Arabidopsis thaliana: one gene and its partners. The main gene of each other region encodes a partner of the protein of the gene in region 3 in a complex. Each region holds a gene or a part of one and is shown on either strand. Other genes may lie near its edges.

Region 1 (8,947 bases), on a different chromosome or scaffold from region 3:
TCCATTCCAAGAAACGTCACGCTAGGATTTTCGCCAAATGTGTATCTTAACCTAACTGATACACAGTAAGGCAACCATGCTGCTCCTCCAGCCGCGTTTATATGGGGTATGTGCACAGGATCAAGAACAACGGTTAGCGCAAAGTCAACCGTGTTGTGCGGCCGGTCGTAATGGATATTGCTTTTAGCTGCACAATTGTTGTCTAAATCTGTACCAGAATGGTTCTCTAGACATAGCTCGATTCGAGGTCTCTGTGCAGGAGCAATCTCTCCAGCTTGTTGTGATTGGGATAATCCTTTTTTCCAAGCTATCAGTTTCAGAAACTCTCTCAAGACCGATATGGGTAACGTGAGGAGTGTTATGAAAGAGGCAACTCTTGAGGCATCATACGGTTCTGATGCGACACGGCGGCTGAAATAATCGCAGATTTCTCCAATCTCGGATTGGGTTAACTCCTCTTGAGCCGCAGCAGAAGAACCATTTTGTTGTGCTTGGTGATGGAATCGCCTTACGCTAAGGACTTGAAGAAGGAGCTGAACTCTATGGACACTCACCGCAAACACATAGCCACTGCAAAAACAAAAACAACAAAAAAACAAAACAATAGATAAGCTTAAGCATAATCCTTCAAGATTGAGCATAAGTTTCTTGGTTTGGCTTACCCGACAAAGAAGCGTAAGGCTGGTTGTTCTTGGTCTAAATTCAAGAGAGCGCCTTCGTTATCCTTCAAGATGGAACCCAAGATCTCTCTTAAGAGATCTGGTAACTGAGCAAATAGCCACAGTACTCCAAGATATTTAAGGATACCACGCAAAACCTTTTTAAGAGCCACAAGAGGAACCCATCCTCCGCCATAGCCACCGTCATCACCTAAACCGATTATCGCTGTGTTTAATTCACCTCTTACATGCGCTGGTACAGCAGTGCCTGGTGTTCTACGCACAGGCAATCCTGAGCTAACCACTAAAGATCCTGAAGCAACACTGGCTACTCGATTCATTGCAGCTCTTGCACTAGAAGGGGAAAAGTTAACTCTGTTCACACCGTTAACAGTTGGGTTTCCACTGTTGGGATTTGTTGCTCCTTGGCTACCTGTCAAATTTGGTTCTAAACCGTTCAATTCTTGAGCAACATGCTCCATGATGAAAGGTCTGAATTGGGGACATGGCAAGGAGCCTCCAATAGAAGCACCACCCTTGGGTGGAGTTGCTGGCTGCAACCAGACTTGATCTCCAGCAAAACATCTCATGTCTACTGCAAAACGTTTACGGTATATGATCCTTATCCAATAGGGTCCACGGAGTACTACAGAGACATCGATGGGCAAGAGAGAGCTTGGAACGATGCCAGGTCCGCTTCTCCCTGCAGCTGCTAGCATTGCAACTCCATGGAAACCTCCACCAAGTGGGCTTGGAGCAGAAGAAGCAACAGTATTTCCTGAAGTTGCTGAGGCAGACTGGCCAGTAGCATTAGGAGCTGCTAAAGTTGAAGGGGCAATGATTCCTTGAGTTTGTTGTATCTGATTTGATTGTCTTGAAGACGCTGTAGCAGGTACAACAGGCATGCCAGTGGCAGTACTAGCTCGGGCAGGGCGAGTAGCGGCAGCTAATGCATGCAAAGGCCCAGCAGTAAGGCGAATGCAATCCAAAAGGGATTCTACCTCTGCTCCGTTTATGAAATCCTCCAAGAACTGTACAAGAGTAACTCACGATGAGAAAAAGCATATATTTGGAACTCTTATAATAAAAATATTTCCCATGAAGAGAGCAAATGTTAAGTCCTGCGAACTACTCACCTTTGTATGTGGCCATAGTTGGTCAGGAGAGACATGCATGGTGCATCCATCTTTACCTGATTCCCACTCGACAACAAAACGCGCCAAAACGCCTGAACCAAAGCTAAACCACAGGCTTGTTAATCCCACAGCCTCAATCTTGAAAGCTCTCCACCTATCTACTGGCTCACCACTGCCTTTTCCTCCAGTAGATCCTTTCATAGTGGAATTAGCACTGCACTCTTCTGTTTTTTCATCTGGCTTTATGCCAAGTAGTTTCCGCATACCAAGGGAGAACATTCTAGCATTTGAAAGCCTTTGTATGTCGGCCACAAGCTTCTTTATACTATCGGCTTCCACAGACTGATAGCTCAGAACAACACCTTCAGGGTCATAACGGATATGAGAATCAACATCAGATGAATTCGCAATGTGAACTCCAGAACCCCATGGTGTGGTTTTACTTCCCTTTTGAAGTTCCCAGAGATCCCTAAAGTGTTGGTCATTTATTTTCACATCCCAACACATGCTTCCAGGTCTACCAAGCTGCAAGCATATATGTTGCCAGGAATCATTTTGAGCAAATGGAAGCCTGAACCATATATCTGAAAATGCATCTCTTAGTCCCATTTCCTCAACATATTGAATATCCAATGCCTCCATCTGACTAGTTAGTTTGGCATGCTTTATGGACAACGAAGAATGCCTGACCACATGGAGAAGAGCATAAACAAAAACGCTTGAAGGTGCATTCCCCTTGTTTGCTTCAGCTATGAGATTCCCATAGCTGCATCCTATAGTTTTTGTTGATGTTGACACGGCAGTGGATAAGGTCTGTGATGCAGGGCTCCAACTCTTCACTAATTCACTCTGTACCAGTTCAGAGGTTTTTCTTCTCTTATTGGGACTAGCAACACCTTCCACTACCTGGAGGGATGGGATCAATCTTAGCAAATCTGAAGCTGAACGTTTCCGGGGCTTCTGATCTTTCCTTAACAAAGGACCAGCAGATGATGTTGCAAGATCAGCTGTTTGAGCTGCAAATAACGGAAATTTTTGAATTCTAATATTGAGAAAGTTCTATGAAGGTAAAAAAAAAGGCTATGGAAAAATGTTCTTACATAGGGGAAGAGGTGACAATGAGGATTCAGTGACCAGTCTAGAGCCTGACTCAGAGACTCCATTCCCAGTAGAGAGGGATGGAGACAGTATCAGGGATAACTCCTGGTCAGAGTTAGAGATGGCTATCTTCTTCATAGCTGAACCCTTCCCAGGGGGAGATGATAACATATTATAAGAGCTAGATTGTAAGGGACCCTGTCGATTATACAAGGAATCTGAATGATAGCTAGTCAACATTGGAGCTTTTCCATGGCCGGTAACAGCAGAGAGATTTTTGGGAACTAAACCATGTCCATCAATTGACATAAGAGCAGATGTCACTTTCTGAAGTCCAAACACTCCATCTACGACACTAGAGAAACTCAACTGGCTTCCACTCATTTCTGTCAAAGCCTCGTCAACCAATCCAGGCTGACGGTGTCCAGATGCTTGATTTATGCCCTCAGCATCCGAGAATGAAGATACAAATTTAACCACATCGGATGTAATCAAGTTAAGATCATCTTCGAGAATCCGTATCTGCCCTATATCAATTTTCTTAGCTCGCAAAATATTGCTTGGATCATTGAAAGACTGAGGTTTTCCCGAACCATCCATCTGAGTTTCCAGTAATTTAAACAATGGTGTGAAGTCCTTTTCGAGCTCCATTAGCAAAAGGTGAGAGCTTTCACAGTCAGGGAATCCCAAAGTCAGAATGCTTGACCCATCCAAGAGGCTTTTAGGAACTTTGTTTATACCAAAACCATGTTCATAGACCTGCATTAAACGCAAACGTCAACACTCCCAACTCCAGAGAGTGAATTTGAACAACAAGCTGAGGCAAACAATTACTACCTCAAGACCCAAAAATTTGCCAATAGCAGCAAAAAAATGCAAAATACTTTTGCTTCTCAAGTTGATAAAGGCATCAACTGCAGATATACTTCCTTGGTTTAACGCATCTTCAAATTCCTCCAAGATGGAGGAGGTCAAGATACTCTTGGATGACTGTAGAAGAAACCGACCAGTCCTGCAATCAATAACATATAGTGAGAATAGTCAGCTAAAATAAGATCTCTCCCAATACATAGATGAAGATATCATACCTTATATTTATCCCCAGTGTGAAAAATGAAGATCCATAGGCTCGCACTCGTAAGACCTCTGGCTCTACTCGCTCTTTAGAGTCTACCATGTTATCTCCCTAAAAGAATGGCGAAAGAGAAAATGATCCAATTAAATTCAATTAGTTGTTGAGACAGCAAGAGAAATATGGCCTAACTATACTAGCTCCCCAGCCAAAAGAAGCTAGGCAATAGGCCATGTGAACTGCAAAAATTAAACTACTTTTTCGAAAAAATATAAATTATCGAAACCTAGGTTCGGCCATCTCTGAAATTTAAATTTGCGATTATTAATGCTTAATCTCATGGTCTATAGCATGAAAGCTATGCATTATTTAGCAAGGGCTATGTGTCATAAACAGAAATCTATCTATTGACATGCAAGTGACATACTAAATGTCCAACTAGTGTAAGTAGCTCTGACCTGGGAAAAAGTCCTACAACTTTCAAGGAACAAAATATTCAACATTAAGCCGAAAACAACTCTTTCTTTACCTCAATACCAGGCTCATCCAGGAGGGCTTGAAGGATCACATCACTTGGAGTTCGACAAATACGAGTATTCCTCAAAAGCTCTTTCTGAATTTCAAGAAGACGGGTATATCTATTACAGCATATAGCTTTAAGCAGAAGCTTCTCCACGTCAATGCAGCTCTGGTCGAGAGAAAACTCAGCTTCCTTGCCAGTAAGTGGGTCAATTACAAATGTGCTGTGAGAACATTTAATCTGGAGATCTGACCCTGGTTCAATTTTAATAAATGGGCCAGAATTTTTATCAGAATCTGACCAGTAAAAAAGTTTCATTCCTGGCGTTCGAAGACTAACAGAATCTGCCTCTCCTTCTTGGTTCGCTGGTGTGGTACCAGTATCTGAAATTAAGTCGAAGCGAATTGCATCTTTCCATCTCCCCTGCAGAAGAGCTCGGACCTGTCTTATGACTGTGTCCATGACAATGGCAACGCACAGCTCATGGAGCACCGCATATAAAATTGTGAATGGATTTTCTGCCACGGACATTCGACGCTCTAAATCATCTCCAAGGATATGCCGTCTTGTCACTTCAAGTTTAATGGGGCCACTTCTTTCACCAACAAGTAGATCCAAATGCAATATCCGCCACATGGATAGGTGCCCTCGGTAACCAAGAGTAACAAGAACTTTAAATTCCCCATCGACAGATAAGGTAACTGTACCTTTAGAAATTTTCACCTCTGTTATTTCTTTTGGAAGTGTGATTTCAAGCAGTTTGGAACGTACAAGTACCTCCAGCTTTCTTAGAGCTGGTTTCTGTTGATGCTCATCCAAAGAGCTCTGCATGCCCACATCATCTAGACACTTTGGCAGGCGCTGATAAGAACCTGTCAGCAAAATCTCAACAGCAGAGGGAACGTCATAGACAGGAGCGCGAGCTTGCTGTAGACCTTCATGCATAAAAAACAGCGAATCCGCAGCTTGTGTGAAGCATATGTCATGAGCTGATAATGTACTCCCAAGGTCTTGAAAGTAGTTTATAAGAGGAACCTGCAGCCCAGGAGGTTTAGCCAAAAATGAATAAATAGCTCAATAAATTTTCGAATACTTACTCTGTAAAGAAAGTGAACACAAGCAAGCATCAACAATCTATGAAATCATAATTTTTTAAAATGGAACGTTGATCTGAAGTAAACTACCTTGAATTTTTACAGAGACACTACAGTCATAAATTTCTTAAAATATGCAGAAATAACAGAAGTACATGATAACATTGATAAGCCTACTTGGAATGTGAAGTTCCATGGAATTTAAGAGACAAATCTAAACTTTAGTAGACAAGCAACGTAATCCAAACAACAAAAACCCATCAAGGACAAGATCACACAAAAGGATCTTCCAATTCCATTCAAAGTCTGTAAATCATCCTACAAACATCAAAACTATATCCACGGGAAATGTGTTTAAAACTAATAGATCATGCAATCAACAAAACCAAACCCTAATCTTGCAACATATCCAATTCCAGTCCAAGAAAGCTTCAAACTTTCACTTCGACCCACAGACCCAAAACGTTAATACTTAGCGAGAAACAGAGAAAGACAAACCTGTTTACACCACTTGGCGAGGGCATTGAGGCGGAGCATCCGTTGCTGAGTCTTAGCGACATACTTAAGGAGGCTAACCTTCTTCTCAGTATCAGAAAGCTCCGTCGACTTAGACTTATCCACAAGTTCCTTAAAAGAAAGGAACGATTCCTCTGCGGCTCGACCAACAAGAGCAGAGAAATCCACCGTCTGTTGCCCTAATTCCGCCATCGCGGAGAAAGAAACAAAATCGCCACCACCCGATTCAGAAACTTAGGAGATCTCACGATTCGTAAAAAATTAGGGTTCTTATCCTCCGCTTCCCCCACCACGACGACAAAAGCACAAAGCTTCCCTTTTCCAGCAACCGGATTTGATTCGGACAAGAGAGACAGAGAAAAAGGGTTTAAAATTGAAAGGGGTCAGGGAAGAGTCGAACGCAAAACGTTGAACGGAAGATGAAAAAAAAAAAAAAAAAAACGATTTTTGGAGAAATCGGCTGAAGAAGCCTTTTTTTTTAACAGACGGCAAAATCTAATTTTTGTGTGGGGTCTCTCTTTTATCCACGTAAGCAAGTAAGTCACTATTAAATTATTAATTAGACATTTTAACCATCATTAAAAAGGTTAATTACAAAATTATCATTAATGTACACTACACTCTTAAGTAGAAGATGTGTGATGTATTAATGTATATATGGTGAATAGTGTGTATAACAATTGGACGGTGAAAACGTTGTTCCGAGTTCCGACAATAAACGGTGAATAGTAATACTGTAATAGTGTATAACAATTTTTCATAAGGAACCACAAGAAACACTTATTTGAGATTTTGGTACGAGGTTTATTTTTCTATGAAGCAATAGTAATACTGTAATAGTGTAACGCATGTAGGAGTAGCAAGGCCTTCTCACTTGTCCAACTAATTTATGTTGGGCGGCAAATAAAGAACCAGCATGAATTTTTATATATACTTTGAACCCAATACCAAAAAGCCCAGCGATGTGTTCATTCTAATAGTTGTCTACAACCAATTTTGACACACTATTTTGGTGTATTTATAATTATTATTAGTTTATGATATTTGCATATTATTGATGTAAAAAAATTTCTGTAAGAAAAAAGTGCTTTGTTTTCACCTCCATGTACTGGAAGAACATGAAACCTAATATATTGATATACTATATTAGAGTACATAGAACTCTTTGACCAAAAAAAAAAGAGTACATAGAACTCAAATATTGTTGACTACTTTGGCTATAAAACTGTTTTGTATTAGTATTACTATGACCACAACATGCATATCTAAAAGCTAGTTTGACTACTTTGGCTAAAAAAGGACTATATCTATAATACATGTATTACTAAAGAATTCTGTAGGTACATTTTCTACCGGTCAATTCAACATCCTATTGTAATTTCCTTTTAAGTAAAAGTTGTATAAGACTCTTTCACAATTATTTATTCACTATAAATACCACGAACTGTACCATTCTTACCAACAAATATATATTTCTCCCACACACATAAATAAACACAAATCATGAGCAATATGAAAATAACAAATAGGTTTATGCTAGTGGCAACATTCATAGCATGTGTGTTCATAAGCAGCATGAACATGACGGTTGGAAAAGTAATTGGGTATCCAGGGTTGAAGCCTGATCTTCCTTGTGATCATCATCGGTATCCTTCTGCATGTGCACCCTCCGAACAACCAGTGAATCCTTACAGACGGGGATGTAGTAAAATACATAGATGTAGACGCGATTCACCCCCTGCACCAATTTCTAGAAAAATGTTAATACGAGGTCAATTAATTTATAATAATGCATATAATGCATATATCCAATATCCATGAATAATAAATTTATGGGTTTGGTTGTGTTTAAGCCATGTTGTTCTCTACATCTACACATTTACCTTAATATTTTTCAGCATGTATTATTGTATTACGATATATACAGTGGTGAAATCTTGTTTTATCATTCAGTTTTGTTCGATTTAAGCTCCTTCTTATTAATGGTAAAATAAAACAAATCAGATCACATATATTCATAGCATTTAAGGACCTAGTGTGTCACACGTGTGAACCTGTAATGTTTGTTATACACAACAAGACAATGATTTTTGACTGGGCCCAGCCCACACGAGGGTCCTAACATCTCTCAACAGGGTTGGTGTTTTTGGGCCCAGGTGGACCCTTTTATCTCATTCTCCTCCTCCTCCTCACGTTTATATGAAATTTTTCACCTATATAAATTTAATCAATTTTATTTATATAAAATTCTTGACATGTAGATTATAAGATTAAGATGAAGTCGTTGTCAATTTGGACCTTCAATTTTTTATGTCAGATTCTTCCATCGTAATCATGCATGGGGGCATGAACATGATGATGTTTAGCAATAAATGATGTTGATGATCATTATGCTGTTATAATTTTATTATATATAATTTGCATGGAGCCATTTATTTATCAACGCTATTATTATTATGCTCCTTTGTGAAAAAATACTACATTACCATATTTTAGGGTCGACGAAATGGGCATGACATGTACCGCCGCCCATACCACATATGGTTGACCATTTACTGTTGAGTTAGTCGTGTTTGGCCCTCCCCACCGAAGATTATATAACCCAATACACATAAGAATTAGTTAGCATTTGCACCTGCATAGAAAAAAATTAGCACTAGATTAAATTATTCCCAGCATTATACTATATTATAATCATTGATCGGAAGGAATGTTTCCTAATTACATAATTGGTAATCATGTTTAACGCACAATTACTTGAATTAACATGAATCCCTAATTATCTATTGACTTCACAATAATCCATGAATTTAGAGCCAAGACAAGGCCACAGGGGCACATGGGAAGTATAG
Region 2 (5,081 bases), on a different chromosome or scaffold from region 3:
TTTTCTACTCTTATTTTCGTGAACATTTTAATCTGAATTTCGTTGGATACTAACCTATCCATCATGCTTTCACCATTGAGCAGGTCCACCGCTACTTTGTTTAAGACGGTTAATCGGGTAGCAGTAGATCAGAAGAAATGGGCAGAAGATATAGCTTGGCATCCACATAAGAATGCACTTTTCTCCGTGTATACTGCAGATGATGGTCACCCTCAGATATCAGCCATATATCTGAATGAAGCTGGAGAGGTAAAAGTATATGAATGCTGTAGCACATTCTAGCGTTTTACCATATTAAATTTGCGATTGGACATTCATGAGTGGAGTGTGTGCTTAAACTTGTAGAAAGTTAACTTGGTCTTCATAACCTGTTAGAAAGAAAAAAATCAATATAGCTGGAATAATTGGGAATTTGATTCGACCCTTGACTTATCTACTAGTTGTAAGATCTAACTTGATGGTTATAGTCTTTTATCCTTGGGGAAGTTAGTTATGTGCTCATTTCTTTTTGGATATCTGTTCATCTGCAGAGATGTGAGTCGCAATTTATGGAGGACAGGCCTCATAGCAAAGGTCTTATCAACAGAATCATGTTTACGCCTTGGGATGATCCTTGCTTCATCACAGGTGGGAGTGACCATGCAGTAGTGTTATGGCGGGATCAGTGTGAGAATAATGCGTGGAAGCCGACGCTTCTGCATAGGGACTTGCATTCGTCGGCTGTGATGGGAGTTACTGGAATGCGCCATAACAATCACGTCTTGTCATGTGGAGACGATAGGAGATTTGTTGGGTTTGATGCCCGAGAAGAAAAAGTCACATTTAAACATAGACTAGACAACAGATGCACAAATATAATGCCAAACCCGCGAGATGTTAATCTTGTCATGGTTAACACGAGGTAAAACTGACTCTTGATTTATATATATCCCAGAAGAAGCGATTGCCTTAAAGTCCGTTCTTTTGCTTGTGTTGTGTTTGCAGGCAGCTAGACCGGCAACTGCGGTTGTATGATGTTAGATTGCCTCAGACAGAACTATTTTCTTTTGGGTGGAAGCAAGAAAGCAGTGAATCGCAGTCGGCTCTAATTAATCAGTCTTGGTCTCCAGATGGTTTACACATCTCATCTGGTTCTGCAGACCCCGTGATCCACATCTTTGATATCCGATACAATGCACCGAGCCCGTCTCTCTCGATGAAAGCTCATAAGAAAAGAGTGTTCAAAGCCGAGTGGCACTCTTCTTATCCGCTGCTCGTCTCCATCTCATCAGATTTAGCAATTGGGATTCACAAGCTATGGTGAAAACTTGTAAAGCCATCACCTGAATTTGAAGGCCATTAACTTCTGAAACAGAACTTGTCTTGGCAAGTTGGCACAAGGTGTTGATTGGCAAGTAAGAACTGAGTACAGCACGCAGGCTGGATACGAAAACTGTCTTGGGAGTTGCATAGGTCAGTCCAGGGTCTGATGGCTCTTGTCTTTTGATTTTTTTTTTTAACTGTGGGAAACTCTAGCTTTTTAGCTGTCACATTTTGCGGGGATTACAACATTACAATGTACAGTATACATTTTTGAGGGCCAACTCATTGGAGCCAAATGTCCTCAGATTTTCTGTCTGCTATAATCCTCAACCATAGTTAGCATGACAAAGAGTTGCAACATCTATATCGATTGGTCACAAAAAAACTTTTGTATGATTGCATAAAGATTCCGGTCCATGTTTCAAAATTCAAGATTTGTCCTTGTGATTCATAATCTTGAGATAAGTAAGAAAGAGATTCATAACATGACTAAAAATGCCACCAAGTGAATCTTTGAATGTAAAGTAACTCCAAGTTTGGGCAGAGACTTCTCCATCTGCTACCGAGTATAACGGTTCTTTTAAGACCGCTTCTTGTGGAAAAAAAAAAAAAAAGACCGCTTCTTAAACCGTAATTTTGTACTAATTTTCCAATCTCTTTTTCTATTTGCATTCAGAACCGGTTTAGGCCTTTGGTTTATAACCAAAATTCAATTCAGAAATCAGAACCAAAATCCTCCGTCTACCTCCGTCTGATTCCTCTATTGGGAGAATCCAAATTTGCTTCAGGTTCCGTTCGTTCATGGCTTCGCCAGAGGAGATGGGTGATGATGCATCAGAAATTCCATCCCCGTGAGTGCATCTTCTTCCTCTTGTACACTTTCATATTCTTCAAATCTGCTCTTTTATTATCTAATTCGCATCTCTACAGGCCAAAAAACACTTACAAGGATCCCGACGGTGGAAGGCAACGATTCTTACTGGAACTTGAATTTATTCAATGTCTCGCCAATCCTACTTACATCCACTGTAAGTTTAGAATTCGTTCTATGGCTTAGGGTTTTAGTGTTCGAAATTGAGATTTAAAAAGGGATTTGTTCTAAGGCTTAGGGTTTGTACTTACCACATTCTGCTTTTGGTTACTGTTTGGCAGACCTGGCACAGAATCGGTATTTTGAAGATGAAGCATTTATTGGATACTTGAAGTATCTTCAATACTGGCAGCGACCAGAGTACATCAAGTTCATTATGTAAGTTGGAATATCTTATGGAATTGGTGTAGTCTTGTAGAGTCTTGTGAAGGTTTGGATAATATATCTTTGGTTTCCTATGTTCTTGTTACAGGTACCCACACTGCCTATATTTCCTTGAACTTCTTCAAAACCCCAACTTCAGGACTGCTATGGCTCATCCTGCAAACAAGGTACAAGAATACGATATGAATCATCAAGTGAAATCAGCATGTTAGTGAGCATTGTGAATAGGGAGTGGTTCAAAATGTTAGGGTACTGGTGTTTTTGGAATGTGTTTTGGGGACTTGTAGAGTTTAGGGTCTCTCTAGTACAAAACCTTGCTTACGTTCTGCTAGTTTGGTTCTGTGATTCTGCGTTTATGCCCATCTATTCATGAGATAGAGAAAGTTGTTTAATATTCTAAACTTTATGTCCTTTGTCAGAATTTCTTATAGGAAATCTATTGTTGTTGAAGTTTTCTTAAGTTTTGAACTTTGTCTTCGGTTGAATCTGGATTTTTCCAGGAATTGGCGCATAGACAACAGTTTTACTATTGGAAGAACTACAGAAACAACAGACTGAAGCACATTCTACCTCGGCCTCTTCCAGAGCCTGTACCTCCACAACCACCAGTTGCACCTTCAACTTCTTTGCCACCTGCACCATCTGCAACTGCTGCTCTCTCTCCAGCCCTTTCTCCAATGCAGTACAATAATATGCTTTCTAAGAATGACACTAGGAATATGGGTGCTACTGGAATTGATCGTAGGAAGAGAAAGTATGTGCTCCTTTCTTCTTCTTGATAATGATGACCATTTTGTGTGTGTTTTTAAGATGACTGCAAATGTGTTACGAAAAAAAGCAACACTCTAATATGTGAGTCATATAATGTCAGGAAGGGTATATAAGCATTTCCTGCCCTGAAGCATACACCATGGCGTCAGTCGTCAGATATGGTTTCCTCCATGTCCTAGGAGGGAAGCCTACTTGACTCAGGTTACAAAAATGTTGGAAACTCGGTATTACTCATTCCGTGTCATAGGCCGTTTATGGAAGTTGTCATATATGGTGTTCAATCTTTGTCTATGATATACAACAACCCCCAATCAGTATCAGTCTTTATCTTTGTTCCTATCGATCTTGACAATTGCAACACTTTATTTTTTTTGAGAAGCTTAGAAGCAATAGGAAAAATTATGGGAATGCCAAACATTTGTCCTTGGCAGAGATTGCTTCTGCCGGTAAAACATTAATTAGGAGTGGGGTTTCCATGTTGCACTTGTTGGTGGAAATTGTACGAAATGACTCTTTGACGTATCTTTGACAACAGTTAGAAGACCCAAACATGACAGAGTGTGCTATGGACCATGGTATACGAAACTTGATATGTGATGAAACTCGTATAACGTAACTCACGGTTCAAGAAAGGAGAAGAAAATAGCATAACTCAAGGATATGAATAAAAGAAGAACATGAACACTTATGGATTAGAAATGACTTTGATACCTTAAAATGTTGAGATTCTTCTCCATTGAATGATTAATTATAGGGAGGTTTGTTAATATAGTCCAAATTTTGGGGCTAATGTGTGATTGCAATCAAAACCAAATTTTGGAAATAGTCCACTTTTCTCTAAAATTATAATTAAAATACCATCATCAAGAGAAAAAAAGAGGCAAAAAACATAGTTACCTAAAGTAGAACGTCCAAATATGAATTTTGATATTAAAGTTAAATTAACTTTAGCAGAAAAAGGTTGAATAATATTTTGCCAAATTATCAAGTGATTAGGTTTATGATTTAAAATATTTCTAACTAATAATAATAATAATATCAAAGAAAACCGTAACCGACTCTACCCTTTAAATATAAACATAATCTCAGCCGTCGGTTTAAACGTGTCGCATCTCCATCGTTGATTAGGACTTGGCATCTTTTCGTCGCCTCTATTTAAAGAATCTCATCATCTCTTCTGCCGTTCGTACACAGAGGTTCTCTTTGCCTTTAATTTATTTTTCTTCTGCCCAAACCAAAAAAAAAAAGTTTCCAGATCCAAAATTACAACAAAGATTCTCAAACTCCTAAAACTTCATCTTAAAAACTTAACAAACAAAATTCTAATTACGAAAAATCCCAATCCTAGTGTTTCTCTTGTTGGCTTTTTTGTTTGATCTGTCTGTAATTTTTTTTTTGTTTGATCTGTGGTTTGTTTTGTAAAAATTCCACTCGTCAGCACTCAGATTAATCTCTTGTCCATTGATCTATCTATCGACTTGCTTCGACTTTTGATTTGAGATTTGCGAAAATTAGGGTTTTTGTTTCGAAATTAGTGTTTGTGTCACCTAGATGAACGATCAATCTAAGCTGATGAATCCGCCACCTCCACAGCAGATGATTGGTCAGCCTCCACCGCAACAGAGGATGAATCCGCCGCCGCCGTCACAGGTACCACGGATTATGAACCAGAGTCCGTTATTAGGCCAATCTCATCCGATTATGGGAATGAATCAGCAGCCACCACAGGTTATGATGAACAGCAATCAGCCAA
Region 3 (7,350 bases):
TATAATTATAAAATTGGTAATTTATATATTCATTATTGTAATAATAAATCACAAAAATTAACAATTAATAAGCATGATTATCTTCTTTAACGATTTTCTTTGTAGAATCATTGAATCATGCGATAGTAATTATAGAAACAAATGATAAGCATGATTCTCTTCTTTATTGAATCATTGAAAACATGCTTTTACCGATCTATACTATAATCATCGATCGGCTCATATTGTTTTGTTTCAATAATAGAAAATAAATACTATGAACCATGAGTCGATAAGTAAACATGGTTCTTAAAAAAATGTAAGAATCTCTATATCTACCTTTTAGAGCGTCCTGATAACGTGTTATAAACAGAGAAAGAGATAGAAGAAAATGAGTGTGTTATTCCATTGAGGTAAAGGGTTCTTTATATAGGATTACAAGGAAAGGGTAAAACCTTAGAAACATCTAGATGATGAGTTTAGATGATGGGCGTTATAATGAGCATCCATCTTTATTCATAACAAGTTGAGGTTTGTTTTGGGTTTTTTCCCTATAATAAAGCATTTATTTCATATAATATATAGTAAAATATTTATTTTATATAAAATTAATTTAAAGAAAATTATGCATTGAATATTTATATTAAAGAAAATAATATATCAAATCAAAGCCTTTGAGATGATGAGTTCAATTATATCTTTAAAACTTTTGAATACAAATATATGTTATAGTGAAAACGTTTATAACATATGCAAAATCGCACAAATAAATTATATTGTGTATTATTTTAAATTTTATAAATTTATTTTGCATTTTTTGAATGTGCACAATAAATTGTAAAAATAAGCGATTTTGAGTGATTTTTTCGCAAATTCCTAAAAACCAAAGTAAACTAGTTTTTCATATTTGTAACAAAAGCAAACAAAAAATTTAAAAGAAATGGTAACTAAATTTCAAAATTTGATTGAGGTAACTAAACGAGTCGTTGAGCTAAATAAGTACATAAAAAATGAGTATATAAAATTAAGTTGACAAGAAACAAAACAAATTGTCAGAAAATTTAATAGCTTTCGAGTCGCAGTTTTAAAGCTCTCTGTTTAAAGTTCAGAAAACAGGTAAACTTCATAGACACGTCGCTCTCTCGAGTCCCGTGTACAACAGAAACGCGTCTTCGTTTTGTCTCTATAACCCCATCAACGGCGTCGAGATGTTCACGTCGATGCCACGTGTCGAATTCTCAATAAACATGTCAGAACGAAAACAATCCTCCACCGTCCAATCTCTGCTTCACGTTTTTAACCTCATACAATGATACAAGTAAACAAAGTGTACTAGTGTAGTGTGAAAGTACCATACAACTAGAGAAATCTGGTGAGTGTATTAATGTTAAAGAATGGGCCAGGCCTTTGGTACTACAAAATACAGGCATCGGCCCATTACAAGCCCAAATTATTTAAAAGGGGTTATTGAGGATTTTGGTGCCTTTGTTGAGCATTCTGCATCATGTTATTAGGCTGTAGACTCTGCTGATTCGTCTGCATATTTCCATAGCCTCCTTGTTGTTGCTGCTGCTGCTGCTGTTGCGATTGCTGAATTTGTGTTTGCTGTGTTTGCATCATTCCGCTGGTGTTAAACACTGTAAAGATAGGACAAATGAAATAGTCAGGGAATCGATTTTGATGTAAGAAAACATGTTTTAGAAGAGATTTGTTTACTTACTCTGGTCACCCAACATTTGAGACGAATGGCTTCTTTGGGGATTGGTACCCGAAACTCCAAATTGCTGACAACCATAAAAATCCAAAGAGATCATCAGATTAAGACAATGTTCATCGTTCAGATTTGGGAAACATAATGAGTAGAGGAGTTTTTGAGCTAACCTGCATCCTAGGAACAAGTGTCTGAGATTGCATAGATGACATGTTTGGTATCTAGAATTAAAAGAAAAAGTACGTAGAAAATATGATTAGTAATTGTTTCGAATCATCAATTCAAGAGGTTAAAGAGAGGTGACTGACCATTTGGCTACTTGGGGAGCCTTGTGCAGAAGTAAACAATGCACTATTGGCTCCACCTGAAAACTGGTTTAAGTGACGGTTCATCGCTGGATTGAGCTGTCCTTGAGACATGCTATGCTGAATATGTCCACCTGAGAGCTGTCTAGCTTGGAATTGTTGGTGCGCGCCCATTGGCTGGGAATATGGCATTTGATGTTGCCCATGTGACTGAAAAATAAGATAAAACTCACACTTAAAAGACAAAAGCTTGTTTCATAATTTCATTTGATTCTACTGTTTGAAACTACGAACTGTCACAGTTACTTTTATATAAAAGCTTCTGCCAAGTCCCAAGATCTAGGATAACTTTTCAAGAGTATGAATCATTCACTTGGTATATGTAAACTTGTATAAATACGTCTAGTCATCTTCATTTATGGCCATAACTACTGCATAATGATACAAATAATTGACCAAGGTAGTGTCTGATCCTTTTCACTTCACACATCTATCCCCTAACTATGTTGTAGTTCTATTTATCTTACCGTCTGAAACTTTTGCTGAGCTTGCCCATGCATATCATGAAGTGCTGGTATCTGACTCTACACAAAGAATTAGCATGTTGCTCAATAAAGCAGTATGGTAGGAAAAAACAGTCAATTGCTACGTCTGCAAAATGTCAAAGCCTACTTGACCCAATCCCTGCATAGAAGATTGCCTGAGCTGTTGTTGTTGTTGTGCAAGTAGTTGCTGCTGCTGATGTTGAGGCAACTGCATTAATTTTGACCTTTGCTGCTGCTGTTGAAACTGTTGTTGCTGGATTTGATGCTGAGGCGAAGGCACATTAACCATACCCGTAGCGCGAGGAGAATTGGAATATGGTAAGGGAGATGTTGTGTTATCAAAATTAGGACCAGATGGAGATGCAGCTGATCTTCCCACAAATTGAGTCCCGGAAACCTAAAAACACACAAAGACATGAACCTCGAAAGACAATGATACTAACAAAAGTAATAATCATCACAACTAGAGAGAATAAACTAGTTTAACCTGCATCATTCCTTGATTGTTAATGTTGTTTGATTGCCCAGGTAATGCAATCTTACCTAATGAAAGAGAATTTTTGGAGCCATTAACAACGTGAGAATACCATTGGTAGTAGTAACAAAATAAAGAAGATTCAAGCATTGGGTTTACTTCTACCAGACAGATCAATGAAATCGTTACCTGCATCATTGATAATTAGCACATCTGCCAGATGTGGTGGAAGTGCAGTGGTTATCTGTCTCTGGTCTGGAGGCAGTTGTGTTCCTAGAAACAACCATTGTAAAAGAACATGAGAAGGAATTCAGCAAAACAGAAAACTGCAGTTTCGTACACTATCAAATGACTCAATAAATTCTAAAACCCTCTTACCTTTACCGTCATTTACAGCATCTCGTAGCATTTTCTCCTGCTCCTGAATCTTTGCAGCTTGACCTTTATCCATAGTAGGAAGCATAGACGGGCCTTGACGAGTGCCAAATCCGTAAGCTTTACGAGTATCAGCTAATACTCTTTCTGCATTTTCACAAGCTGCTGCAATCATATCCATCCTCGCCTGTAATAACAGATACCATTTCAAAAACCAGCAAACAAATCACAACAAAAATACATTACAAAACTAACCTTAAGCCTTTCGATTTGCATTGGTATAGGCAAACTCTGAACACCTTGAAGCAACTGCTCTCTCTTGGCATTGTCATCAGTTTCCATCTCCGGTAGTAATTTCGAAGACAACATAACCGGTAAAACTGCAGATTCACTGATAAATGCTAAGCTAAACCAGTTCATCACATTCACAATTCATTTAACTCATCAACTAAAACAACTAAAAAAAGACCATACTTGCAGCGTTCATAGCATTGACGTTCTTAGGAAGCACAACAAACGCATTTGAAACTCTCTTTACTTCTTCCACAATGTTAAAAAGCTCGAGATTTACCATCGAATACTGCCCTAGAATATCCTGCCTGTTCAAAACAAAAAGAAAATCAATCCTTGTTACAAAAAATTCATAAACATCAAAATATTATCAAATTCTGGATTCGATGATGATGAACCATTTAGGAGTAGTGTTGGTTCGACCATAAGCGTCGAAATCTTCAAGGATTCGAGCAATGGCTTTGGCCAAGCTAACGGCTCGTGTCTTCAACGACTCCAGATTCAGTTCCTTCTCCAGTTTTGGATTCAGCTTCTCAGCTACCGGAGGAGGAGGTGGTTGCTGCGGCTGTGTCTCCATTGATAACACAGAGCTAATACACAAACCCTAATTCCAAATTTAACGTAATTAGGGGTTTTTAACATCACAGCGAATTGAACAAATTAATTAGGTTTCCGATTTGAAATTGACACAAAAGTTTCGATTAGAAACACACACAAAAGAGAAACTTACGAATTAGAAAACGAGGAATGCGCAAAATCTCGAAGAAGGCTTTGATTTGGAGAAGTTAGTTATTGGAGAAGACGAGAGAGTGTGTTTGAGAAATAGAACCGGGAAATATAATAACATACCGAATCCATAACATATATATGTGTTTCCTCTTTGAAAACTTACAAGGTTGCAACAAATAGACAGAGCGGATAAATCCGTTTGCAGACTAGACCAATATGTCGCTAAGACGGACAAATCTGTTTGCGGAGTAGACCATTATATTTCTAAGACGGACAATAATCCGTTACGGACCAAGTTTTGTTTTTTTGCTTTCAAATAAACTATTTGTTGGTCCGTAATAGAGTTTTGCGTGATTTGTAGATATAACACTTTTTTACTAAATAATTAACCAACTAACACCATAAATTTGTAAATGTAGTAAATAACCTTCAAGGAGAGTAAAAAGACATCACTGTCCTGGTGTTACGCTTCGTCAGCGAAGAAGGAGAATGATTAGTGTGAGCTGACGTGACTTTATTATTGGTGTTGAGGTGAGAAGAGAAATAGGTGGTAGGAGAGAAATTCTCTTTTCTCTTTCTTTTTTCTTTACTCCTTTTCAATTGTAACTCATATTATCTGATCTTAAAAAATTTAATTCAAGTTCATGATATATCTATTAAAAAGTTGTATAGTTTTCTACAAATATCATGACTTAAATTTTTGAAAATAGACACAAAATAATTTAGATGTGAATAGTGTTGTCAATGAATAACATAACGTTCTATATAAATTGACAATATTTTTTGATGGAAGTATACTAAACCCTAAAGGGATAATATATAGGGAACCCAAGGGTTTAAATCTAAAACATTAATGAAATCACTTAACATCTTTAATCAAAACAAACAATTCATTTTAAAACGTATATAGAACAAGGTATACGTAAATAGTATACTATTTACAAAATAGAATAGTATCTCTCAAAATGCAACAACGGAACTCAATTTCATCACCAATACACCAAGCGCAACAACGGAACCCTATTTCATCATCAAGTGCAACAACGAAAGTCAATTCCCTGAACCTAACTTGTGTTCCTCGCTCTGTAATTCGAAACCCCCAAATCAAATATCACCCTAAAGTAATTAAGAGACTCTAATTTGAAATAAAAAACAAGTAACGAGGTAGGTGTAGGAACTTTATTGGGAGGAGAAAGAGAGAGGGGGAGAAAAAAAGAAAGAGAGAGAAAGAGAGAGAGAGAAAAAGATAGAGGGGAGAGAGAAGGGAAGAGAGAGGTAGACGGAAAGAGATAGAGGGGGTAAACTTGGAATTAATATATAAAATATAGAGGATATCATTGCTTTTTTTTTTATGCTAGTTTCTTAATTATATTTTTTTTTGGTTAGTTTTCCAATTCCCCTAGAGTTTTTATATTTTTTCCTATTTACTAAACTGCGGACCAAAATTATGAATAGTGAATAAAAAACGGTCTTTGTACGCAAGTTAGTCCGTCCCATTGTAAACCCACTCAAGGAAATGGTTCTTACAAAGTAAAACTATTTAAGAAGATATTAGTAACTTGTGTGAAAGATACTGTTGGCTTTGTTGATGGTTCTTGGTGATTCAAAATCCTAGAAGAATCATCCAATGTAGTCTCTCTAACCCATAAACATAAGCTTCCTTAGTTCATCCTACATAACTTGTAAACTTTTGTATAAATCACTTAATAAACAAGAGTACTTTGAAGACAAAAACAAAAACAAAAATGTAGTAAACATTGTTTTGTTTGTTTGTTTTACATTGAAAGAATGAAAAAGAATAGATACAGAGGCTAGAGTTTGTGGGAAGGGAAGGAAGAGAGAGTTTCTCATCTTTTGGCTGTCATGGCGTTACTTTGACAGCCCTCCAAAGACACTACTAACTTTTATCGCCGGAGAAATATGGAAAACCTCAAAAAATCTCATCTGACTGAGAAATTATGTATAGAAAAGAATTAAGTGACATCTATTGAAGATATAGAAAAAATAAATGAACACGTATTGTGTGTGGTTTGGTTGCACAATCTACCAGGGATTACCACTGGTTTTTTTCTTCTTGGAACCAATTCAGAAATCGGCAGAGTTTTAGCTTTCTTGCTGTTTCTGAAAAAAAATATTGGTTTGAGTTTCTTCAGTGAGATGTTTTATCATCATTCATCAAATCTCTCTCAGTTCGGCTGCTGCATCTATAAGAAAGAAGAACAAATTGTCAAATCAGTCTACAAAACAAAAACCCATTTAGAATCTCTGAGAAAGTTTTGTTTTGGTTACCTGGGAAAACAAGTATTCGTCGAACATTGAGATTGAGCAAGGCAAGGAGCTGCTGCTAGAACCAAACCTGGTTTGGTTGGTGTTGTCGTTGTAAGCAGAAGAATCAGGTGGTGGTGCTTCAAAGAATCCATTCATATGATACTCTCTCTGATTCATTGGAATATACACCTGAGCATGCGGAAGAGTAAGAGGAAGAGGAGGAGGAGGCAACGTTTGGTGATGATTCATATCATTGTGAAGATTGGGATTGTATGCTGTGATATTATTATTATTAGTGAACTGCTGCTGCGAGCTTGTGTCCTGTTTCAGCTGTCCGGTGTTTAGTTCATCAAGAAAGCTTGTTTCTTGACCCGGAATTGTCATTTCAGGAGATTTCCCTGTTCCAAAGTAGCCTGGATAGCTCCCGAATGAAGAACTCGCTGAGCACTCGACTTCCCTTTTGAGGATAGACAAAGATTTGGTTTTAAGATATGATTCAATATTAAAAGAAAGAAAAGTTCTCTCGGTGAGAGTTTTCACTAACCTCTGCGGGATTGAATTGTGTTCCTCGGTGACAATGTTGGTGGTGTTGCTATTAAGAATCCATGACATAGATTGAAGCTGTTGTTCTAAAGGAATCTGAATCCCATCTTGCATCTGAAAGTTGTACAG
Region 4 (7,861 bases), 3.1 Mb from region 3:
TGATCAATGTATATTGTGTTGATGCTTACAGTCATATCTGAAGTCCAGAAAGTGAGATTGTCTCTAAGAATCTTCATAATCAGGGTACTGTCCTTGTATAATTCATCACCCAATGCATCCAACTCAGCGATAGCACATTGGCATTGTCCAACATACAAGAACAAAGATCTTGCAACGACAACATTTAGTTTAAGCAATTAATGAATAAAAGCAGCACAAAGAACATAATTACTAGTAACGTCTTCAGGTGACAAAATATGTACCATCATCAGAGCCTCCGGTTGCAGGCCGTAAACAATCCTAGTGGCAAAGTAACAACACATGGTTATGGGATCTCAGAAGCTTCTTTGATTCTCATAGCACCAATCACAAGGAGAGTCAAACCAACGACTCTTGTACCCCAAGTCCTTATAACTTCAGTGTGAAGCCTATTTCAATTTCAAGGTATAGAGCAGTGGATAATCTCAAGGTAAACTACACAGAAAAAACTACAATTCACATAGATAGTTCGAACAATTACTACAAACTTGATATTTACGATGTTTCAACAATTACTTGATCATGAAACCATAGACTACTAGTAATGAATCCAATGGTTCTTGAAACAACTGAAACCTATAAACATTGATGCTTCTTCAAAAACCACCAATCCAGTAACTTAAACCAAAAATAGTCGCAAACATCGATATAAACAATACACTGACGCTAATCCAGAAGATTCATAGTCGTGAATTACCTTAATACTCTGATTCAATCTTCGAGATGTATCCGGCGATGGATTCTGGCGGAAGAAGCATGAAAGGGAGCTGTCTCGGCGTGACTGGAGACGGCGAAAGGAGGTAAAGCTAAGACCCAATTTCTCATTAAGCCCATCTTCATTAAAAACAAGACCTAAACGTGAGAAGTGTGTACGTATGTATATAATGTCTTCTTCCTCTCGCCGCTTATGTTACGAGCACGCAATGTTAACCTTATCAAAATCATAGAAATTTGATCTCAACTCTCAAGTCACCATCATCCTCCACTATCGAGTTCACCATCGTTGTAGTTTGTGGTTGTGGTCCCGATCGTGTTAAGTGGTGACGTGAAGTTATCGTCACGTAACATCCAACCCTAATCATCACCATCTGAGCCACTATTAGCCTTCTTCGTCCTCCTTCTTCACCGGAATCTAGATCTATCATTGGTGCTTTGTTTGGGTCTGTGATACCGAATCCTCTACTTCTTCGTTGCAGAGTGAGATAACGGTGAAACCTTATTCTCGTATTCATGTTAAGGTGTTGTGTTGTTTAATTATTGAACCAACCTAAACCAAGGGATTACGTATAGTTACGGCCATGAATTGAAACTTGATTATTAAGGAACCTTTTGAGTTGATCGGTTATGGCGTCAGTTGGGTTGTGTTAGTGAAGAAGACGATATAGTCAGTTATTGGCTTATTAGAAAGCGTTGGGTTAATTGTCAAACCAGAAGTAGCATTGACATGTACGTGATTTGAATTGTGGCGTTGGTTTAATTATTAAACCGGGGAGTATTTGGTCACGTAAATGGATGTGGCGTAGTCAATTACGTGTTAAGCAACTAATATTAAATTATTAGACTTGGTTTAGTTATTAGATTAAATAACAAATTATTAAGGGAATATAATCTTGATTGATTAATCTAAATTGTTGTAGTTTGAGATCGTTGTTGAGCCGGATCCATTGTTGCTAGTCCTATTTCTTAAAATCCAACCGAGTTGCCAAGGTGAGGGTAGGATCTGTGGAAACATAGTATCACCTTTACTTTTGTATTTCTGAATTTCATTTGTATAAGATTAGACATTGGGTGCTGATTGTTAAAATGTTAGGATTATATATTAAATATTGTTGATTCAGTAATCAAACAATGAATTTGTACTAAGGGATTTAGACAAATTCACTCCTCTCTTAGCTCACAAATAATCAAAGGAAAAGAACTAGGTTGCTTAAACAAAAAGCTAGGGTTTGCTCTGTAATAGTAGTCTCTTGTATTAGGTTAAAGATGATCTCAATGGGGGGTTTGACCCCTCTATTTATACAATAGGTCGAATATACCAAAATATGATAAACTTCTAATTATCTTAGGTTTAAATCTTCATTACTTCTATTCTTCATGAGATCCTCTTCTCTTAAATGGAAGTTTTCCCTTTACACGACCTAAGAAGTTGGTTATGGCGATCTTGATTGTCGACTTAAGTCTTCGGGCGATCTCATGACTTAGGCCCATTAACAGGCTAACCGGGATACCCCGGTTCAATCGAATTCTCGATTTTATTCACATTATTCCTCGGTTTAAATTAGTATTGTCGGAGGTGCTAATTCCTGCACCAACAAATATTATAATACGTGTTGTGTGATATTATGCGATAGGTTGTTAGCGTGATATGCATATTGATTTTTGAATACTCTTTTGTCGTTTTCTTGTACTATATATTTATCTGTTTTGTGTTACCATGTTGAGTAATTTCTCTAATCATTCTTTTGTTTGTTTGTTAAGGTTTAGCGAGGCGGTTCTTGGTCAAAGCCTATACATACATCTCCCCGTTAGGACGCATAACTTAATGGAGGGAAATACTAACTGGAAGCCTAATGAACAAGGCGGAAACCGTGATGCTGCGAATAATCGTATTGATTGGAGATCACAACATGAGCCTGAATTACGGCAAAAGGTTCTTTCAAAAATGTAAGCCATTCTTTCAAGAGTTTCATGTTTCTTTTGTTGGACTCATTGTTCTTATTTGATTATTAACATTCATGAAAGAGAGTAAGGTTTTCTTGGTCATGCTTTCGATGTGATATTTGTAGTTTGCGCATGATAAAGATTGCAACAGTTAAAGCATAAGAGTTGTGCATAAATGTTTATCATAGTTGACAAAACCTAACTTCAACCTTTTGTACTTTAAGTTTTGCATATTCTTTTAACCTCATTACCTGCATTTAGGCTCTTCCTCACTAGGAGAATCTTGTTTTACTCTCGCTTCTATGTACAATTGCTTGGCACATATGTATAATTGTTTCAGTGTTTGTTCGCTAAACGATTATCGTAAGTTCGAATATTAACTACGGATTATTTTCTCTGTTTTGTATTTTTAGTGCAATTAAAATGGTATCACTTCCTCTTGAATATCAGTTATAACCAAATTCTTCATAGTCACTGATATTTTGTTCTCATGTATGTGTAGAGTTGAAAAGTTCAAGGAAAAGTTTCATGCACATGAAGAATATAAGATTAACGACATCGCTTCCAAATTTGAAGAAAATTTTTATAGCATAGCAACCGATAAGGTGTTAAACTACAAATTGTTTCTCCATCTATTAACTTCAGAATCTGAATTTGATATCTTACTCATTGTCCCCTTGCTATGTTTCAGAATGATTACCTTAGGAAACTCAGTGAAACACTGCATTATATACAGAGAACTTACACTAGAGTTCTAGGTAATAAGTTTTTGGTTTCATAATTATACTATTTTAGCTTAATAACAAAGAAATCACTAACTAACTTTTTTTTTCTATGTGTTTATCTAAACATCAGCTTCTCAAGTAGTTGTGAATCAAGCTCAATCTCTTCCCGCCTTGTTGCCATATATGCAGACTACAACGAGCCAACAATGGTTACAGCAAAACACACAGAGCAATCTCTGTGTCATCTGCTTTGCCAAGTCAGGTCCCTATAACCGTTCCCGGTTCTCAAAGACAGATACATGGTAGGCAACAACTTCTTCCTCAGCAGCAACAGCCTCAAATGAATCAAATCCGCCATGGTAATTTACGACCTTCGCACATGCAACAACAAGCTCGGTCACCGCAGCCGCAACATCATCCGCAAAGTTTGTTGAAACAACCTATTCAACAGCCTTTTCCTCAATCAAGCTAACAAAACACTCAATCACTGACCAGAAATCAGTTTTCGATACAACGGGTCAGTTTTAGTCATCAACAACAGATGGTTCTGCCGTCTCAAGAACAGAAACGACAAGAACAAGAGCAACTCATTAATCAACTGACGAATCTTCCAACATCACGACCAAACAATAGAGACCAACAAGGAGCTTTTCAGGTATCCTCGTCTCAGCAGAACAATAATGTTACCTTACATGCAATGTCTCAACAGAAGAATAACCTCCAAAGTATGACTAGAGGTCAACAAGTAGGACAATCTCAACCAATGATGTCACAACAATACCGACAACAATACCCCATGCAGCAGGATCCTCAGAACAGAAACTTACAGAAACATTTGGATTTTGTACAAAACAATACCAATCAATTTCAAGCAGCAAGTTCGTTGCGCCAAACACAAAACATAACAGATCAACAGAACCAGCCACAACAATTAGAGAGAGCAAATCCATCTAGTATGTTTCCTCTCTTACTAACTCTTGTGATAATGTTTTTAGTTCTAATAATGAATATCATTGTAGCATCTCAAGATTCTACGGGAAAGACGGTAAATGTCAATGCCGGAAACTGGCAGGAGGAGACCTATCAGAAGGTATCTTCACTTGCTTTGCTCTTCACTTCTTAACATCACAATTAGGGTTTGATTTTGTTTTCAATTGATTCCCATTCTGATATGTCCTGCAGATAAAAAAACTGAAAGAGATGTGTTTACCTGTTCTCAGTTTAATGCACCAAAGAGTTGCGGAAAAATTGCGGGAGGTACTTTATTTTATAACCTAATTGTTTTGCTTGTGGAACAAGAATTTGTTCTAATGGTTTTCTTAATCATTTTTTTTTCTAAAACTTTGTGTTGTTTTTGGTTTAATAAACCTAATGTTTCCAGACTGAATCTCTTCCGCCGCAACCGATGCAAGCTCAGTGGATTGAAAAGCTAAAGGCGGGAAAATTGTCAATGGAACACCTTATGTTTTTCTTAAATGTTCATAGGAGCAGTGTATCAGAGAAACATAGAGACAAGTTTAGTCAATATGAGTACCACATATTGAAATTTACCAAGAGTCAGACCATGGTTTTGAGGCCAACGCAGCAACAACAAGGACAATTTCCTCCTTCTCAAACAGCAATGCAAACCCAAAGTCCTCAAGTCCATGTGTCACAGTCTCTTTATAAGGAGCAAAGGAGATCACGGTTGATGCCAAGTAGCCAAAATGAGGCCTCGTCTTTGTTGCAAATAAGGCCTAAGTTGGATCCAAGAGACGAGAACATCATTATGGCTTCCTCAGGAAATGTCATGTTACCTTCTGTTAAACAAAATCCTCGGGCCGTAAACACAAATATCAGTTCGGTTCAGTCGTTGCAGAAGCAGAAGCGATTCCATCACCGACAAATGCAACAACAACAACCACAACAAGGGAATCATCAACATCAAATGCAGACAAATGAGATGAATGATGTGAGGATGAGGGAGAGGGTCAACATTAAAGCCAGGTTGCTTGAGCAACAAGTCTCATCGAGTCAGCGCCAGGTTCCAAAGCAAGAGTCTAACGTTTCATCCTCTCAGATACAGAACCACTCTTCTCCTCAGTTAGTTGACCAGCATATTCTTCCTGCGACGATTAACAAAACCGGAACCCCATTGAACTCTAGTGGTTCGGCTTTTGTTGCTCCAGCTCCATCTCCAGTTCCTGGAGATTCTGAAATGCCTATATCTGTTGAGTCTCCAGTTTCTGGTGTTGATGAAATAAACTCAACTTTAGATTCTTCTAGTAAACTTGGCACACAAGAAACTCCTCTGTTATTTGTTCCTCCGCCCGAGCCAATCACAGAGCGGCCTATTGATCGACTTATAAAAGCGGTAAGTAAACTCTATAGCTTATCTAAGTTTACTTTCTTTACCTTCTCCTATTTACTGACCTAATTTTTAATGTGTGTGGCTTTCTAGTTTCAAGCAGCATCACCAAAATCATTGGCAGAATCTGTAAGTGAGATTAGCTCGGTGATTAGTATGGTTGACATGATTGGAGGATCGTTCCCTTCTAGTGGAGGATCTAGAGCTGGTTTAGGCGAGGATTTGAGTGAGAGGACAAGAAACTTTACCACACACGAAGAAACAAATCTGTCTAAGAGAATGAAGCGATCAATCAACATTGTGCCGCCAGATATGTCATCACAAATTGATAGTTATGAACAGTTGAGTAGCCTTGAATCTGAAGTTGTTTCCACAACATCATCTGGCTTGAAAGTTAACAATATTGCGGTAAAATCTACTCTATTGGTATCGAACTACGAAAACAAATGAAACATCGAAATAAATCCATTTTTTCAATCTTGTAGCCTGGTTATGCCCTTTTGCAAGAAATCAAAGAAACAAATGGGAGACTTGTAGAGACAGTGGTAGAGATATGTGATGAAGATTCTTTAGGAACAATCGTCACTTGTACTTATGCTCCTGTGGCTCTCAGTGCCACATTCAAAGATCATTACAAGTCTGGAAAAATTGTAAGTTACTTCAAACTTCTTCTTTTTCCTCACTCTGCTCAGATTTTTTATGTCTCTAAATGTTTGATGCAGGCACAGATTCAACCTTTACGCTTACTATTTCCTATGGATTATCCGTATAGTTCTCCGATAGTTCTCGAGGAAATCTCCTTTGACACTAGGTATGAATCTTTCTTAGAAATCAAGTAACAACGATTGGAGTAAATATATATGATCTTAAGGATTTATATCTGCATGTTTCAGTGTACACAAGTATGAGGATCTATCCGCGAGAACCAGATCAAGGTTCAGTTTGTCCATGAAGGAATTTTCAGAACCAGGGTTTTCGAAAGGAATAGCTCAAACGTGGAATGATTGTGCGAGAGCGACAATGGTTGAGTACGCAGAGAGACATGGTGGAGGCACTTTCAGCTCCAAGTATGGTGCTTGGGAAACGGTTCTAAGAGCTTCATGAGGACTAATACTTCCTTTCTCACTCACCGTACAAGATAGTTTTTAGGTGGGAAGCCTTATAGCCCAAGTTAGGTTTTTTTTTATTTCCTTTGAGATAGAAGTAACATTTATTTGTATGGTGTGGCTCATGTCTTCTTATTGTATATATTTTAACAAGAAATTATAATTGTTTCAAAACCGATAGTATAATAAATTATCTTGAAATATTTAGGCACAAAGCCTTTTTTTTAAAAAAGATTTTAAAGTATTTTATTGTTTTTTCTTATTACATGTTTCATTTATAGAGCCCAAAAGGTTGGAATATAAGTTTTAAAAAAGGATTACAGAAAATGAAGCCAAGCCTATAAAACTAAATCATCCTTAGTAATTTAAACATCCACTCATAAAGATTTTGCTGATGAAACGTGTTGATGAAGTGTTTTGCCCTATGACACGGGCCGAGACGTCAAGCACCGCTGTTGAATTCGCGGGAAACCGCTAGAATTCACCAAAATGTTGAGAATCGTCTTTCCTTCTGTCGATCTCGAACCCATGTCCAAAAATCGTCGATATTCTTTCGGATCAAGTGATGGAAGTCGCTTAAAAATTCTTCAAGTATCATTATCGTCGGGGAAGCTCCACCTCTGACGACACCCATATTGATGTGGCCGGATCTTTGTTCATGTGTGTGCATAAAGAAGTGGTATAGATATTACTCGTCGAACTAATTGGTGGGAACATAGAGGATTTGTGAAGAAACCAAAGACATCAACAATCACCAATAGATGGAGATCTAAACTCGCAAGGCAAGAGAGAACTTGATAAAAGTGGTATCAAAAGTCTTGTCCGAAATCAAAATTATTGATATCGTCGAAGCAAAATTTATAAACCTAATTAAACAGAAAAAAAAAAAAACTGAAATTAATATCCGATTTGGATTAGAGCATGATCGTTTCTAAAGAAACGAGAAGGGTAAGAGAAAAAAAAAAGAAAAAAAAAAAAAGCTC

The links.
Region 1: MED8 (region 3) and SWP share a complex: the UniProt entries of both Arabidopsis thaliana proteins name them as parts of the mediator complex.
Region 2: MED8 (region 3) and MED31 share a complex: the UniProt entries of both Arabidopsis thaliana proteins name them as parts of the mediator complex.
Region 4: MED8 (region 3) and AT2G10440 share a complex: the UniProt entries of both Arabidopsis thaliana proteins name them as parts of the mediator complex.

Annotation. Positions count from the first base shown.
Region 1 is NC_003074.8:1,291,377-1,300,323, reverse strand, and holds the start of SWP (RNA polymerase II transcription mediator), read right to left. Parts: upstream 6,527-8,947; 5' UTR 6,288-6,526; coding exon 6,078-6,287; intron 5,521-6,077; coding exon 4,495-5,520; intron 4,080-4,494; coding exon 3,982-4,079; intron 3,906-3,981; coding exon 3,731-3,905; intron 3,653-3,730; coding exon 2,896-3,652; intron 2,812-2,895; coding exon 1,796-2,811; intron 1,691-1,795; coding exon 663-1,690; intron 571-662; coding exon 1-570. Other genes in the region: RALFL21 (RALF-like 21), read left to right, coding at 7,599-7,916. UniProt on the Arabidopsis thaliana protein: Component of the Mediator complex, a coactivator involved in the regulated transcription of nearly all RNA polymerase II-dependent genes.
Region 2 is NC_003076.8:6,729,844-6,734,924, reverse strand, and holds MED31 (SOH1 family protein), read left to right. Parts: upstream 1-1,934; 5' UTR 1,935-2,103; coding exon 2,104-2,153; intron 2,154-2,232; coding exon 2,233-2,330; intron 2,331-2,454; coding exon 2,455-2,551; intron 2,552-2,645; coding exon 2,646-2,724; intron 2,725-2,789; coding exon 2,790-2,879; intron 2,880-3,057; coding exon 3,058-3,311; intron 3,312-3,428; coding exon 3,429-3,441; 3' UTR 3,442-3,689; downstream 3,690-5,081. Other genes in the region: AT5G19920 (Transducin/WD40 repeat-like superfamily protein), read left to right, coding at 84-249, 531-901, 985-1,303; AT5G19900 (PRLI-interacting factor), read left to right, coding at 4,880-5,081. UniProt on the Arabidopsis thaliana protein: Component of the Mediator complex, a coactivator involved in the regulated transcription of nearly all RNA polymerase II-dependent genes.
Region 3 is NC_003071.7:902,886-910,235, reverse strand, and holds MED8 (mediator subunit 8), read right to left. Parts: upstream 4,724-7,350; 5' UTR 4,412-4,723; intron 4,286-4,411; 5' UTR 4,259-4,285; coding exon 4,080-4,258; intron 3,990-4,079; coding exon 3,865-3,989; intron 3,771-3,864; coding exon 3,646-3,770; intron 3,578-3,645; coding exon 3,394-3,577; intron 3,289-3,393; coding exon 3,205-3,288; intron 3,084-3,204; coding exon 3,028-3,083; intron 2,938-3,027; coding exon 2,668-2,937; intron 2,580-2,667; coding exon 2,523-2,579; intron 2,206-2,522; coding exon 1,999-2,205; intron 1,912-1,998; coding exon 1,861-1,911; intron 1,764-1,860; coding exon 1,700-1,763; intron 1,617-1,699; coding exon 1,444-1,616; 3' UTR 964-1,443; downstream 1-963. Other genes in the region: AGL30 (AGAMOUS-like 30), read right to left, coding at 6,667-7,135, 7,223-7,335. UniProt on the Arabidopsis thaliana protein: Component of the Mediator complex, a coactivator involved in the regulated transcription of nearly all RNA polymerase II-dependent genes.
Region 4 is NC_003071.7:4,012,767-4,020,627, reverse strand, and holds AT2G10440 (mediator of RNA polymerase II transcription subunit), read left to right. Parts: upstream 1-2,581; coding exon 2,582-2,703; intron 2,704-3,040; coding exon of another isoform or gene 3,041-3,067; intron 3,068-3,202; coding exon 3,203-3,305; intron 3,306-3,391; coding exon of another isoform or gene 3,392-3,458; intron 3,459-3,555; coding exon of another isoform or gene 3,556-3,614; coding exon 3,615-3,727; intron 3,728-3,817; coding exon 3,818-3,942; intron 3,943-3,985; coding exon 3,986-4,378; intron 4,379-4,420; coding exon 4,421-4,515; intron 4,516-4,607; coding exon 4,608-4,682; intron 4,683-4,806; coding exon 4,807-5,778; intron 5,779-5,865; coding exon 5,866-6,180; intron 6,181-6,257; coding exon 6,258-6,422; intron 6,423-6,464; coding exon 6,465-6,583; intron 6,584-6,665; coding exon 6,666-6,876; downstream 6,877-7,861. Other genes in the region: AT2G10450 (14-3-3 family protein), read right to left, coding at 30-122, 264-323. UniProt on the Arabidopsis thaliana protein: Component of the Mediator complex, a coactivator involved in the regulated transcription of nearly all RNA polymerase II-dependent genes.